Drosophila melanogaster: one gene and its partners. The protein of the gene in region 1 interacts with the protein of each later gene in a pairwise test. Each region holds a gene or a part of one and is shown in the gene's direction. Other genes may lie near its edges.

What was found. The genes of interacting proteins can lie anywhere in the genome.
Region 2: the proteins of CG13689 (region 1) and CG13733 interact in a two-hybrid assay, tested with the Drosophila melanogaster proteins (one large-scale study listed by BioGRID).
Region 3: the proteins of CG13689 (region 1) and Moca-cyp interact in a two-hybrid assay, tested with the Drosophila melanogaster proteins (one large-scale study listed by BioGRID).

Annotation. Positions count from the first base shown.
Region 1 is NT_033779.5:600,888-604,443, forward strand, and holds CG13689 (uncharacterized protein), read left to right. Parts: upstream 1-1,925; 5' UTR 1,926-1,983; coding exon 1,984-2,119; intron 2,120-2,186; coding exon 2,187-2,452; 3' UTR 2,453-2,675; downstream 2,676-3,556.
Region 2 is NT_037436.4:17,477,083-17,480,978, reverse strand, and holds CG13733 (uncharacterized protein), read left to right. Parts: upstream 1-2,052; 5' UTR 2,053-2,172; coding exon 2,173-3,030; 3' UTR 3,031-3,184; downstream 3,185-3,896. Other genes in the region: CG6333 (uncharacterized protein), read left to right, coding at 114-734; qjt (quijote), read right to left, coding at 916-1,617.
Region 3 is NT_033777.3:28,338,069-28,345,881, forward strand, and holds Moca-cyp (Moca-cyp), read left to right. Parts: upstream 1-2,265; 5' UTR 2,266-2,366; coding exon 2,367-2,670; exon of another isoform or gene 2,671-2,732; intron 2,733-3,303; coding exon 3,304-3,391; exon of another isoform or gene 3,392-4,116; coding exon 4,117-4,146; intron 4,147-4,211; coding exon 4,212-4,351; intron 4,352-4,410; coding exon 4,411-4,558; intron 4,559-4,614; coding exon 4,615-4,741; intron 4,742-4,811; coding exon 4,812-5,006; intron 5,007-5,066; coding exon 5,067-6,947; 3' UTR 6,948-7,101; downstream 7,102-7,813. Other genes in the region: Gfat2 (Glutamine:fructose-6-phosphate aminotransferase 2), read right to left, coding at 1-1,478.

The DNA of each region.
Region 1 (3,556 bases):
GAGCCGTGCAAATGCAAATTGTCCCTAATGTAGCTCAAGTAAGTAGCAATCGCCCAGTTCCCCGCGGCGAGGATTCTCCTTGGAATTCGAATCGAGTAGCCGAAATGGAACTGGTTCCGAATGGAAGAATTATAAAAAATAATATGTAAAAATTAAACAAAAGTCATGGTACCGTAAAAATTACACCATTCTATAGTTTAGAAGCTTATTTCATTGCTGTTTTCAACTATATATACTATATATTATATTCTATTTGAGCATGATCCGCCATCCTGACCAACGTCGTCTATAAGTTTATGCTCTCCAAATCTGAAATTATTTCAATGTAAATTCGAATTTCCGAACTAGTTTACTGGCACCAGCACACGTAGGAACCACTCGAATTAAAATCTTTTTTTGGCTTCGATGCGCGCAAAAAATATGCAAAATAAATGCGGGCAAAAAATCGCTGGCCAAGTCCATTAAAAGGGAATAAGTGCGTGCAAATCCTGGCCGCAGGATGTTTTTCATATTATCAGAACGCATATTACTTCATCGGAAATGAAGAGCTTTCGTTCCCCCCGCTAGTTGCCAAAGTAAACATGTGTGAATTGCTCGGGAAAAGTGAGGGATGATGGGCGGGATGATGGCCATGATATCCATATCTGTATCCGTATCCATAACCATAACCACGCGCCTTTTTCGCTACACTAAAACCGCAATACAAACACACCCACACCCACTTAAGAGAACGGAAAAAAGAACGAGGGGCACAGGATATGTTGGATGGAATGTACTGTGCACCACATTCAAGTTGATCCCCTTGTAAATCTCTAAATTGTTTTATGAACATATTGGCCGGGAAGGTGTAAACCTAATTTTCCTTTATGAACCGGACGAGGCAGGTAAAGTGGAAGTGCATCCATACCCGGACTTTTTGTTCCGGCTCAGCAGGATGCACTCCATATCAATGTGCTCTTTGTTTGGCCGCCTCATTTAAATCGTACCGCTGGCCAATTTGCATTCGCACTACAGCCAAATTGATCCGCCCTAATCCCAGTTTTAGTTTTGGTTCCCGAACTTCTTCTTCGCTACTTCGAGCGACCGACCGATCGACCGAGATTTATAAGCGCGGGATTTGAATTTGCTAGAAAAACAAAACTCCTCTGCCTTTTCCTCAGGCTTTAGCCTTAGCCCTGGTTTGGCTATGTTTCTGGCTGGGATTGGCTTGGATCTGGATTTCGGTCCGATCCGGCTTGGCTTCTGCTCTGGCTTTAACTTTGCGCTTGCCCTTTGCCGGGAAGGTCTGAACCAGAGTTTTGAAGTCAGTCGGTTGACCGGAAAAGGCCTTCAAGGGGTTGGCCGCGAGGGCAGGGAAATATAAGGGTTTTATCATTTAAGAAATGAAGAGATTTTGTTGGAATAAGTAATTCTTCAAAAATGAATAAAATTTCATTTCATTAATTTGCGGCATAATTTCATAATTATTAATTATATAAATTTTGTAATATATTGTATTGATTTTTAAGACAATTTTTTTTAATATGTATCTATGAGATTCTAAGTTAGAAACAATAATTATTATATCTAAAAGTAACATGGTGGCGCCATCTGTTGTTCCCTGAAAGCCCCTGTACTTAATTTCCGGTAACAGTAATAAGACGCCATCTGGAGTTCGCGTTGTTTACAATCTGTACACACACTGGAATTAACAGCTGTTACAGTCCGATAGACGATTATTCACATCACAATCTTAAACTGCTTTTAAAAAGATATTATTTAAAATTATTTACAAAGAAAACAACCAATTGCCAAATCAAAATTATAATGAATCATTATTAAAGCGCTTCATATGAACCAAAATATATAATTCTGTGAAGCGGTCGCTAGATTTCAGTTTCTGGCCACATTTTGGATAATTTGGCAACACTGCAATCTTGTTATTGCTTATGCTGAGAAGTAAACAAAAGGCGACGAATGTTTGTATTTTCCTAATAAAAGCCAATGGAGGATTGGAAATCGGAGGAAATGGCAAGGAAAAGAAACAGGAATAGGAGCAAGCAGCGCAGACGAAGGCAGAAAAGTGAGGGAAAGCCGAAGCCACATACATCTCGAGATCAGTGGAGCAATGTGGCTCAAAGTAACAATAATAGTCATTAATAAGTTTTTTAATAGTGTTAACCATTTAAAATTCCCTGTTATTGTAGTATACCAAAGCCTTTTTGAATGGCACCACAATCATGTTATGAGTCTCTGCCCTGAGGTTAATCCGAATCTGGATCAGGACCTTGAGGATATTCCCAAGGAAACAGGAACGTTTCACTGCCTGGACTACGTGTACGAGAGTTCTTCCGAGGATGAGGAGATCGAACCCATTGACGAGGGCTATCTGAAGTTCCTCGAGGTGACCATTAAGCATCAGCAGGAACTCAGGGATCGAAGAACTGCCCAAACCACCGACTCTTTAGATTAGAATTTTGGTAAAATAGGTTTTTACGCAGATGAAAACTTACAGTTCATTTTTATCTGGTAATGACTTAAAAATGTATCTTACGTAAAATGTTATAATTTAAGCTCAAGTTTATAGGTTTGGTATTTAGTTTTGGTAAGCAGAAAATGTACCTTTTATAGGGGATATTTTTATATGTAGCACTTTGTCTTGAACGTATTAAGTATATAAGATGTTTTGATAACTTAATGTTCATACTTAGCCATTCTAACTGAATGCCTCAAAGGGCTAGAATCAAGACCTGCGTAGGACGAAAAAGCAACTGTACTTTAATTCCCGGAACTCTTCAAGCGGGAGACAAGTGTCTGATATTCTGCTTTTCTCACATGGTTCTCCACTAATGAAGTTGTGCGAAGTTGGCAGTTTTTTGGCCAAAGGAAACGCACATTAACCCGACCAAGACTAATGCGATGTCATTTATAATCGCGCTGGGAGAACCAGAAGAAAGCTTCAAATTGGGGCATGACTAAAAAGGGAGAGGGGCTTTTGGTAGGATGGAGGACCATTTGTGGGTCAGAGACAATGTCTGCTGCTCGTGTGGGCGTGGCAAGTTGGGCATTAGCCAACATTTTTCGGCACTTTTCAGCAGAAAACCTAATTAAGACGTCCGACTCTGAGTGGCAATGGATTTTCTTGGCTTACTTATATCCCCCATCCTCTCTCTCCTGACCAAGCTCCTCCGCCCCACGGAGCTCGTTTCCCACCTGCTCCTCATTCTCCACTGAAATCACGACTGGCGACGACAACTGCGAACGACCTTTCTAATGCCCGGCCACTGCATAAATCATGGCCCAAATGGCGGCCACCTGCAACCGGCAGCAATAGCAGTAAGCCAACAGCAACTGCAAGTGCACTGTAAGAAATCGCATTGCTCGATAGTCCTTTATGCTCACATTTAATTCTCATTACTTCAAAATATGAGTTTCTCCCAGTCCATTTATCTTCGGTGTTCAGAAAACCATTTGTTGTTACAAAATTCCCATTCGAATTCGTTCAGTGTAGCTAATAAGGCTTTGCTTGCATCGCGAACGGAAACGGCAACTAAAACTTAAGCTAAAACTAAAAGCT
Region 2 (3,896 bases), on another chromosome or scaffold:
ATATTTTTAGAGGTGAAACAACGTTTGCCCTCACTTAATCGACAAAATTTGAACTAATTCGAATAAAATTAAGAGTCAGAACGAATTCACGAGTGGCTAAATTATTGTTTAAAATGACCAAGGGCGTGAGGATTTGCAACGATGGATTGCCTGGTTTGCCGAATGAAAGGCCATATTCCCGAAGAACTTTAGATACGCGGCAAAAGACTCAGAAGATGTCCTCCAGGCCATCTAGGAAACCATTGCAGTCTCTACAAACTGTCGGTCGGAATACGAGTTCCAGCCTGAAGCGCATAGGAAGTCCGATCTCCGAGGAAGAATTTGGTGTCCTGGTGCAGCAGGATTGTAAGGCAGAGCAGCATCACACCGATCGCCAAAACCTGGCGGACATAATCCTTATGCAGGCCCGTCGCATCGAGAAGCAGCAGCGGGAGATGAAAAGAATAAAGGCGCACTATGAGCGCCAGGTGTCCACCATCAAGAACAATGCCATCATGCTGGAGTCGCATCTGCAAAAGGTGCTGGCCAGTGTCGAAAGGGATCGGGCCAAGCGGATTGGCCACCACTGCCAGGACATGCTCGGTGCCGTGGAGAAGCTGCAAAGGAGCGACATCCAAGTGAAGCCGCAATCTTCGGCCAACCAATTGCTGATCCAGTATCTTCACTCCAAGAAAATTTCGCATTCGACCAAGAAGTCCAATGAAAACACAAGTAGGTACAGGAATATGTTGTGAATCGTATTCTTGTGTGTACATTGTGGTTTCACTGGGTTTTGTGGTCAGCTTAAATTAGCATATATGTGTATTAATAGAAGTACAAGTTATTATAAAATAAAATAATGGCAACAATGAATTTATTTTATTTTACTAAGTTAATTCTCAACAAGGACGGAGTTGGGCACAATCATTATCTGTTCTATTCCTCGTCCTCCTCCGAGGCAGTTACATCCACGATCGCGTTAGACATGCTCTGTTGTATCTTTTGCTGGACATTGGCGTCCTGGACCAGGTGATCTGGCTGGATGTAGCACAAGTTGGCGCAGCCGAGCACCGGGCATCGGATGCCAATGCGGTCCATTATGATCGGCATCACCGAGTCGCGGTCGTAGATGTGACCGCACATTTTGTTGCGCATGGGGTTCTTTATCAGGGCCTTGGACCAGGGATCGTAGAACGAGAAGACCTCGCTGCCGGAGTCTTCCATAATAAGGTCCTCATCATAGGCGGTGCCATTCGCTTGATCATTGACTTCCGCACCCGCCTGACCAGCTGCTGATTCAACTGCTTTTACGAAGTTCTTGAACTCGTGTAGATTCTTGACATTGATGCGCTTCTGCTCCACCGCTTTGGAGCGTTCCTTCCAGACTTCCTCGAACTCCTCGATGGTGGCGCTAGAGTTTTTGACCTGATTCATAGCCTTGTTGAGCGATTGGTGCTTTATCTTCATATGGACTACATTCACGGCGTGCTCCACGCTCTGCTCAACGCTCTGCTCGAGCAACTTCTTGATCTTCCCGCCATCGCTGAAATCGGACACGAAATCTGACATTTCCTTGAAGAACTTTTTGTTTTCCACTAAAGTGGAAAGTGCGGAATCAGCAAGGTAATTGAATTCCATTTTATCCAGAATATTTAAGCCAAATGTTCAAGACTGATGGTTAGTTAGGCTAGCCTATTAATTAGTGGTCTTTGAATGGACTTATATTTATAAATAACGTTGATATTTACCTGAAATTAGGTTTTTAAGCAAATGCCACGTGGAATGTAATCGCTTAAAAACTGGAATCATCGAGAATTTATCGTAATTTACGATATCGATCTTAAATCGAAAGCACAGATTTTTCGGTTTTCGTTTCGTTCGAATTTTTCGATTTGTAAAACGGGCACTTTTATCTGGTCGAAATAAAAAGTAAATGCCTTTTTTTTATATCAAATCAGATCTTATTTACAGGGGAACAAATATCGAAGGTTGCCATTGAATTGCGTAATCAAAAAAAATTTCAATTACCGGAGCATGCTTGCATAACAACGTTTTATTTAAGTTTTTAAATGTCAGATCTCGGATTCCCCACTGAATGCCTTCAAAATCCCAATAGACACCCCAATCTTGAAGCAATTTTCCAATAGACAAGCCGTGTGTTTTGGACTACCAAAATTTCATTCGTCCAGCGCGATGCCATACCACGATCGAGCCAAAGCCCGATTGGAGAACGAGGTGGTTCTCCTGCGGAGCGAGGTGTCCTCGCTGCGCTCCAAGCACAACCAACATCGTAAGTATCGGCAGGAGCAGGTGGTTCTGCAGGCGCGTATGGAACAGGAGATCCAGCTTCTACAGAGCGAACTAGCCGCAGCTCAATCGAATCGGAATGAGCGGGAGTGCGGTGGAGCCGAGCAGTGTTCAGTGTTGAGCCAGCAGCTGGAGAAACTTGACGAGCACGTGGCTAAGCAGGAGAAGTACATTGCCTTCCTGGAGGAGCAGATCAATCTCACACGTAACAAGTACCAGCAACGTATGACCGAAGTCCGGCAGAATGCCGAACTGGTGGAAAAGGAGATGAAGCGGGTGCGCCGCGAGATGAAGACCATTGCCGAGCAGGCTGGGGAAGTGGACAGCCTCAAGAACCAAGTCGGTTTCCTCACCGCCAAGCTGGAGCGCCGGAACGCCATCATCTCCAGGTACGAAGCCCAGCAGGAGGAAATGATAAGTATCATGGCAAGTCTCCAGAAGAAGAAAGTTAAAAAAACGCGCCATCAGAAGATTCACAACAACCATGACGATAAAGCTGATGTCAGATCGATCCCTTCCGAACAGCTACCAATGCCCAAGCCGAGTGATCAAATAAAGCATCGCAAGAAACGGAAATTTGGCGAAGGCGATAAGGAAGATTCCAGCTCGGCGGGCTCTGATAAGCCACCAAGTTTTGAGGCGAATCCCAGGTCTTCAAAAATTCGATCCCATAACTTGGACTGCCTCTCCTCTGCGCTGAAAAATAAGTTAAGTAACCAGCAACAGTCAACTGTCGAGGGATGATCTGATTTCGTACCCATTATCTGATGGATATTCAAATTTATGGTTTTTAGATAAGCTTTTTACAAAATTTCTTCTGTAACCGAATATCTCTGTAAAAATTGTTATGTACATACATATATAGATCTCTTATGAACAGTAAATGATTAAACTAACCAAACGGAACTTCAGTCAGCACTTCGTTTTCGACGGGCGTCGGAGTTCCTGGAACTCCCGATTTACAAGTTCATTGACAAGCTGCTGGATTATCCATTCAGCAGTATGGAATCGGGTTAATGATCCGGCTTAATGGATGGCTTTATTTTGATTTATTTTGTGTGGTAAGCAATAGCTTAACTGCATTTGTTGGGAAAGTTTGAATGATCCGATGATGTAATTAATACATATGAATATGTATTAATCAATCAATTATTATTGTTTAATGCGTAAGTTGTGCTTGTAATAATGGTCATTTATTCACGGAAATTTCTAAGAAATGCATATGTTCTCTGATTATTATAAACTAATAATAAACTACTAAAGATGTAACTTTTTTGTTTATATTAGTAAGCTGTGAAGTTAGGTAGATTTTCAGGCTATATGAAGGATTAGACAGTTGCAGGACTATCAGTTGATGTTTAAGAATATTTATGGGATCCTTCATGTTCGTATAAGCAACACTAATCAGAAGAATAGGTAGACTTGTCTCAGTGGCTTATCCGAGGGCTTAAAGGTAGTGCTGCTATTTCTAGCCCTGCAATCAAGTCACGTTCGCTGGGTGTTCTAATGCAATATTTTAGCATAAGAGCACGTACCGCAGTATTGCATAAATTCTGAAAGTGCCGGGCAATGAGTCAGTACGGGATTGCAGAATGGAGCCAGCTGAAGTC
Region 3 (7,813 bases), on another chromosome or scaffold:
ACCAAGGCGAACATAACCAGCGAAATGAACTGGGAGGTGTAGGCCTTCGTGGAGGCCACTCCGATCTCGGGTCCAGCGTTGATGTGGACGCCACAGTGCGACTCGCGGCAGATGCTGCTGCCCACCGTGTTGGTAACGCCCACGATGAGCGCTCCTCGCTGCTTGCAGTATCTGAGCGCCATCAGGGTGTCCGCTGTCTCGCCCGATTGGGAGATGAAGAAGCACACGTCGTCCCGGAAAATGGGCGTGTTTCTGTCCAGAAAATCGGAGGCCAGTTCCACCATAACGGGCAGTTCGGTCAGTTCCTCCAGCAGCTGCCTGGTGGCCACCGCACTGTGGTAGGATGTGCCGCACGCAATTAGCATCAAGCGGCGGCAGCGCTTGATCTCCGGTATGTACTCCTTGATGCCACCCAGAACCACGGTCTGCGTATCGAACCTCATCCTGCCGCGCATGGTGTTGACCACGGATTCCGGCTGCTCGAAGATCTCCTTCAGCATAAAGTAGTCGTAGTTGCCCTTCATGATCTGCTGGATCTCCATTTTCAGCGTGATGATCTCGCGGGCGTGCGGATCATCGGATGATTTGTTTAGGCGATGAATGCTGAGCGTGCCATCGCTCTTGACGGCGGCCACGTCGTCATCTTCCAGGTAAATCACCCGATTCGTGTGCTCTATAACAGCCGATGCGTCCGAGGCGAAGAAGTACTCCACTTCCTTGCGCTCCAGCGGTTGAAACTCGGCGTTGCAATCGCCGGGCGGCAATAGTTGATAGGCCTGCTGCTGCGGCTGACCATGTGGCCGATGGGCCTTGGCGTACAGGATGGGTATGTGATCGGTGGCCAGCTTGGTCTTGGCCTTGATGCCCACCAGAAGCGGTGAGCCTCGCCTGGAGGCCACGCACTCGCCCGGGAAGTGCTTCGACTTGAAGGCGATGGCGAAGGCGCCCTCCAGCTGCTGAATGGCCTGCTCCACGAGCTCGCCGAAAGTGTAGCCAGGATGCTGCTGCCACAGGTGGTGTACCAGCTTGGCAATCACCTCCGTGTCCGTGTCGGACTCAAATACATATCCGCGCTTCTCCAGCAGCGTCTTCACATCCTTGTAGTTGGTTATAATGCCATTGTGCACCACCACAAAGCTATTATCCTCATCGGATCGCTGCGGATGCGAGTTGACCTCGGAGGGCACACCGTGGGTGGCCCAGCGCGTGTGTGCTATGCCTATGTGGGTGTCGATGGGCAGCGAGTAGTCCTGGCCGCGACACACCTCCGCCACCGCATCCTCCAGCACCTTCACCTTCCCGGTGCGCTTCACCAGCATTATGGACTGTGCCTCGCCAGAGTTCAGCGCATCGATGGCTATGCCCGTGGAGTCGTAGCCGCGGTACTCCAGCCGCTTCAGTCCCTGCAACAGGAGATCCAGGACCTCCTGTCGCGACTTGGGCGTCAAGTAGTTTAGGTACGCGAATATGCCACACATTCTGAAATGCGATTGCTTTTGCTGAAATTTGCTGGTGATTCGTGGTTTTCCACGTCGCAATGTTAACTTTCCGGTCAGCTGAGGCTGATCTTACACTTCTGAGGCGGCTGCAATGCGATTGTCGTGTTTTTATCGCGACACTGGCTGGAATTTTTTTTGTTTTTCTCTGATAAACCAACCCAATTATTTGCTTTTTCGGCGAAAAGAACACGTCTTCGCCCTGCTCTCCCGCTCGCACGCACACACGCGCCGCTCTTGCGCTCTCGCTCACGCACACAGCTACAGCCACACGCGAGCTGCCATGTAAACATTGGCTTTGTGTGACCGTATTGCAGCCAGGGATGGAACGGTAATTTAATAAATTATTTTTTTACTATGTATTGAATAATATAATAAACTTTTAAAGCTATATACAAAGATGTTAACTGTGTAAATTGTCTGAAAAAGCTTAATATAATATGACCATAAAGGCCAGATCTCATTTCATAGTTGGTTTAAACGACATTCTGTTTTTCCCAAAAATATGAGCATTGAAGATAATATTTTCAACCCATGTTCTAAAGGTTTTGGAAGTTATACCAAAAAGCATAAAATGATTATTGGTTGCTGAGAGTAATCAATGGTGTATTTTGACTATATATAGCTCAAAGTTTACCGTTTATTTGAGCGTACATATGTATGTATTAACAAATTTAAGAAAATATATATATTAAAATTAATATATCGATACCCGAAAATATGCTAAGCATATTGCACATCGATATTTCTAACTGTATGTTTTTGACATCCCTAGTTCTGAGTAGAGCTGGCAACGCCGACATTGTGCAACTCGAAAACGGCGTGAAATACGTATTAAACAGCATTTATTGGCAGAAATCGGCGCATATAATGACGGTAAACAAACGCGACGCGGGTGCCACGCGACCGCGGTGCTTCTTTGACATTTCCCTGGGCGGCCTGGGCATGGGCCGCATTGTCTTCGAGCTCTTCAACGATGTGGCGCCCAAAACGGCCGAAAATTTCCGCGCACTCTGCACGGGCGAAAAGGGATTTGGCCTAATCACCGGCAAGAAGCTGCAGTACAAGGGTGTGATATTCCACCGGGTGGTCAAGGACTTCATGGTCCAGGCGGGCGACTTCTCTGCGGGCAACGGCACCGGCGGCGAGTCCATCTACGGCGGGACGTTCGAGGGTGAGTTCTTCCGGCTTCCGATTCGATGCCTGCATGCATACATACACGCTTGTGTGTGTGTGCTGCTGTTTGTGTGGGAAAAAATCAATACAGTGGTTATCTGATAAGAAGAACAGAAAACGAAAGGGAATATACAGGGTACTTAAAGTGCAATTAATAAAGAGTCAGTAGGGGGAGAAATGTAATAAAAACACTGTAAATACAGACACCCACATTTGGAGATTTAAAAACTTCCAGCCAATTACATCTAAACTGCACTACAATAATCTACTTAAGTTTAATCTTTGTCGAAAAAAATTAAAACGCTTTTGATATGCCAGCCAAAGTGTACAAATGCCCCATTTAAATGTCAAAAATAAATGTTTACTCAAGCGACTCAATTTAAATTTACATTTTGGCAAATATTTCCATTAGAAAGATAAGGGAATGGTGCACATCATACATCTACATATTGCTAATTATACGTTTGGGTGGAAAATGGGACAAATATGCAAATAGAAGCGGCTTTGGGAAATCCAATTACATGCGCATTAAAAAGTTATCTAGAAGATAACTTGAGTTGCTCATCTCTCTTGGGCTTTAAAGTAACATTTAAAGTGAATTTGGTTTAAACAATCCGATTCCTCTTTCCAGATGAGAGCTTCGAAAAGAAGCACGATCGTCCCTTCCTGCTGTCGATGGCCAACCGGGGCAAGAACACAAATGGCTCGCAGTTCTTTATGTAAGTGCTCTCGACGGAGGACCGTAACCGGCTGGTCCGGACTAACGTGGCCGTAAATTTAGTTTCAGTTCTGTTTCAGGCACCGATATTACAGCTAAACTCTCTTCGTCTTCTTTTTGATCTATACTTAAACCACTGTTGTTGTTCATTAATCTATTGCCATTTAGCCTTAGCCCGTGGGCGTTAAAGTGTGAGCTAGCGTCCCACTGACCAGCGGACAGATGCATCGCAATCTGTCCTCCATCGGCCGATGCACCGCCATCCCAGCATCCCTAGTGCATTTGGTCTGTGGGTCCAAAAACCAAGCGAAAGACGATGCAGGTCTTTCAGCTCCATGGTCTTTGGTCCCTGGGCCTGGGTCTCAGTGTGTGTCTCAATCTCTCTCTCTCTCGCTGTCGGCTCCTTGTGGATCTTTGCGGGAATCTTGGGCTGGATCCTCACGATGGATCTGCCAGATGACAATGTGCTGGCCATGGCCAGCGGCAGCGGCTCTTGCGGTTGGTGGCTTGCCAAAATCCTGTGTGCCACCTCTGCCTACACACCTAGAAACCTTTAAACTTTGTTGCACATGACATTGTCTCCGCCACAACCGACAACAATAACAACAACAACAACTGAAACAACAACAACAACACCGATTTCAACTACAACTGCCTACTGCAGCCCAACAACCAGTTAGCCAAAGTGTAAAGAATATTTTTCTCTTCTTCTGTTTCTCATTGTAGTACAACACAGCCTGCGCCACATTTGGACAAGTAAGTTAGCTTTGAACACGTTAAGTAGATCAACAGATTAATAGCGTCATATTTTCTCGTTGCAGTATCCATGTTGTATTCGGCCAAGTTATATCCGGTCAGGAGTTGGTGCGCCAATTGGAGGGCTTGCCTGTCGATCGGAACTCACGCCCGCTGCAGGATGCAGCCATTGCCAACTGCGGTGAACTAGTTAGACAGACAAAGGGTACGACTGTAATCCATTTTCGCATATCCATTATACTTGACATGCTTCTCGTCACATAGCCAAAAAGGAGAAGAAGCACAAGAGGCGCTCCACGGCCACCGAAGATTCAAACAGCGAGGAAAGTGAGGCTGAAGCAAAGGTCGTGCGCAAGGCCAAGAAGAAAAAACGCAGCCGCAAAGATACGAAGTCGCAAAGCGATAGCGAAGAGTATGTGATAGTGGTTGTTATTTTGTAATTTGTTTCATTTCATTTCGTTCGTACAGCAATGAAACAAGTCGCGGGAATGGAAAACATGACCAGACCCCGCAGGATGATGACGAGGACCGCGAGGAAGGCGAACTGCATCCGCTGGTCACAATTACAAAGATAGATCCTAACGAGATACCAGAGGTAACTGAAGTGGATTCTCTGTTCCTGTTCTTGAATATGTACCCTTCATCCTATACTCTTCTGTATTTAGGTATCGAACAAATTCCTAATGCGCGCAGAGCGATCAAAGTCGCTGGATCGTGAGGAGCGTGGAGCACGCGGGCAGGATCGTGATCGAGGCAAAGATCAGGATCGAGACCGCAGCCGTAACAATTTCGGTTGGTCAAAGAAGCAGGCACCGCCTACATCGCGTAGTGGTCGCATTGTCAAAGGACGCGGAGTGTTTGTGAGTATATAAAACTGTTTGTAACTCCGCACACAATTTCTAAAATGACACCATTTACAGCGCTTTCGCACCCCGTCGCGTAGTCGTTCGCGCAGCACTACGCCACCTCACTGGAAGCATGCCCAGAAGCGCACCATCAAGTTGTCCGACTTGGAGCGCATTGAGGAGGAGAGCAAGATGCGCGAGGAGGAGATGAAGCGGCGCGAGCATGAGAGAAAGCGTCGCCACGAGGAGGCCACAAAGAATCCTAAGCAGTCCTTTTTCGAGCTATCCCATGCCAGCACTTACGGTGGCAAAATAACTCCGGATCGATTCTCTCCAGAGCACAAAGCCAAGTCGAAGGACACCGCAGACCGCGGTAAAGCCAAGGAGAGAGAAAAGGCTGGCGAGAAGGATAAGGCTAGGGATGTGACTCCTGTAAAACGCCGCAAGTCGATGGACATGAACGCCTTGGACTACGAGCAGCAGACAGAATCCGAAGTCGAGTCCGAGGACGAGGAGCAGTTGAAGGTGAAACCACCAAGCAAGCAGGATATCAGAGTGGAGCCATCGACCAGCAAGGATCGCAACGCGAAACGCGATGAGCGCAAGCCCACCGAGGAGAAGGCCAAGCCAAAGCGCAGCCGTTCCCGGAGCCCTCGTCGCCAATCTCCTGCTCGTCGTCAGCAACGCTCGCCTGCCCGACGTCCTGGCCAAAACTACAACCAAAACCAGAATCAGAATCAAAATCAGAATCAGAATCAGAATCAGCTTAATCGTGGCAATCGCCGAAATCCCTTCGCGGACAGAGATCGCCGCCGTCGCTCGCGCTCTCAGGATAATGAGTACCGCAATCGTTACCCCCTGTCACCAATCAGAGGAAGAGGCTCGCCCAGTGGAGACCGCCGGCGTCAGCAGCGCTCCCGCAGTCAGAACCGTAGGCAGGATTCACCCAGCCAGAGGCGTCAGTTGTCGCCGGGCCGAAAACGTCAGGATTCGCCGAGTAAGAAGCGTCCCAATTCAACGGAAAGAAAGTGGCGTGACTCGCCTGAAAGAAAGCGAGACGATTCACACGACAGGAAGCGGGAGGCTTCTCCCAACTGGAAGCGTGACGATTCACCTGCAAGGAAGCGCAAGGACTCCGCCAATAGAAAGCGGGAGGATTCCCAAGACAAAAAGATACAGGACAGCAAAAGGCAGGAGGATTCTGCGGGTAAGAAACGAGAGGATAGCCCGAGCAAAAAGCGAAAGGATTCTGATAAGAAGCGTCAGGATTCTCCTGTGAAAAGACAAGAATCGCCAGGCAGAAAGCGTCAGGACTCGCCGGAAAGGAAACGCAGGGACTCGCCTGACAGAAGGCGCAAGGATTCACCGGCCAGACGACGCCAGGAATCTTCTGGCAGAAGGCGCCAGGACTCCGATGGCAGAAGACGCCGTGAATCGTCCGGCAACAGGCGCAGTCGCAGCCGTGGACGTTGGCACAGTTCCTCGCGCAGTCGCAGTCCCTCAACTAGTCGCTCTCGCCGCCGTCGCTCGCGCAGTCCGCTGCCCAAGCTCACCTCCGCGCTGCCCATGAGCGAGGAGCGCGAGAAGGCGGCCCGCGAGAAGATGCAGAAGCGTGCGGAGGCCGCCATGCTGATGAAGGAGCACATGCGCAACGAGATCGCCAAGGAGGAGGAACGCCGCATGGAGAAGCAGCGCCAGGACGACTTGGATAAGGAGCGCACCACCCGCGAGCTCAACGAACTGGAGCGCCTGAAGGCCGAGACGCTCAGGAAGCTGCATGAAGAGGATTCCGTGGACCCGGATGCGGCTGCATCCGCCGGAAGTGCGTCCAAAACCGATGCCACCAGCACCGGCGCCAAGAGCAAACGCGATTCCAGCTCAGAGAATCGGCATCGCGAAAAGAAGCGCAAGCATAAGAAGTCCAAAAAGTCCTCGGGTCGATCCGATAACGATTAAAAAACTAATCCTAGACTTTAGTTGATATACCCCAAACGGTGGCCGACCTGGTCAAGTTCCACCAGTTTCAGGTGGAACTTTCAAATTGCAATTGTAAAAATCGCGACCCCCAATTTTGTAGCCAAGTCTGTTTAATAAAGGTAAACGTCACTGTACTTATCCACTGTCCATTTATTTTTTAACTTTTTTTCTGAATTTGCAAAGATAATGCAATATTTTAAGCAAAATAACATGTGTGAATGAGCACATTATTTCAAGATCTGAAAAATATTACATATTTTTTTATTGATCTCAATTTTTGTACTGGTAAATATAATTTATATTATATTATATAATTTATATTTATTTTAAATTTTTCAAAAAGACTTGAAAAAAAATGAATCCCAATAGCCGTGTTCCACACCTAGCCAAGACTCGAGCCAATGTGGTGAGTTTGGACAATCTCTTAGTGCTGCCCATACAAAATGTGCTGCTGTTATTTGCTTGGTTGCATTGTTTTAGAAATGTTGAGTCGCTAGGTGGCGGCACTTCTAAAAGGACTTAAAGGACATTAATGTTTTTCGATTTTATTATTTGCGAGGCACTGTTTCACGCTAATTGATTGACTATTTTCTCTTTAATAATATTTTACAACCTTCGCTATGCTTATTTAACATTTGTTTATTGAATACTTTTCTACAGTATGTTTATTTTTATTTATTTAAAATTGTTTATTTAAAATTTCTTTTGTACCATTTGCAATCCGAGGGCTTTCCAAGATAATCCGACCACTTCGCACATCCGAAAAGTTGCAAAGCAAAGTGTAATTGTTAAACAAATTAAACGTGCAACAGCATATTTTTTATTTTCGAGCAGATTGGTCGGAA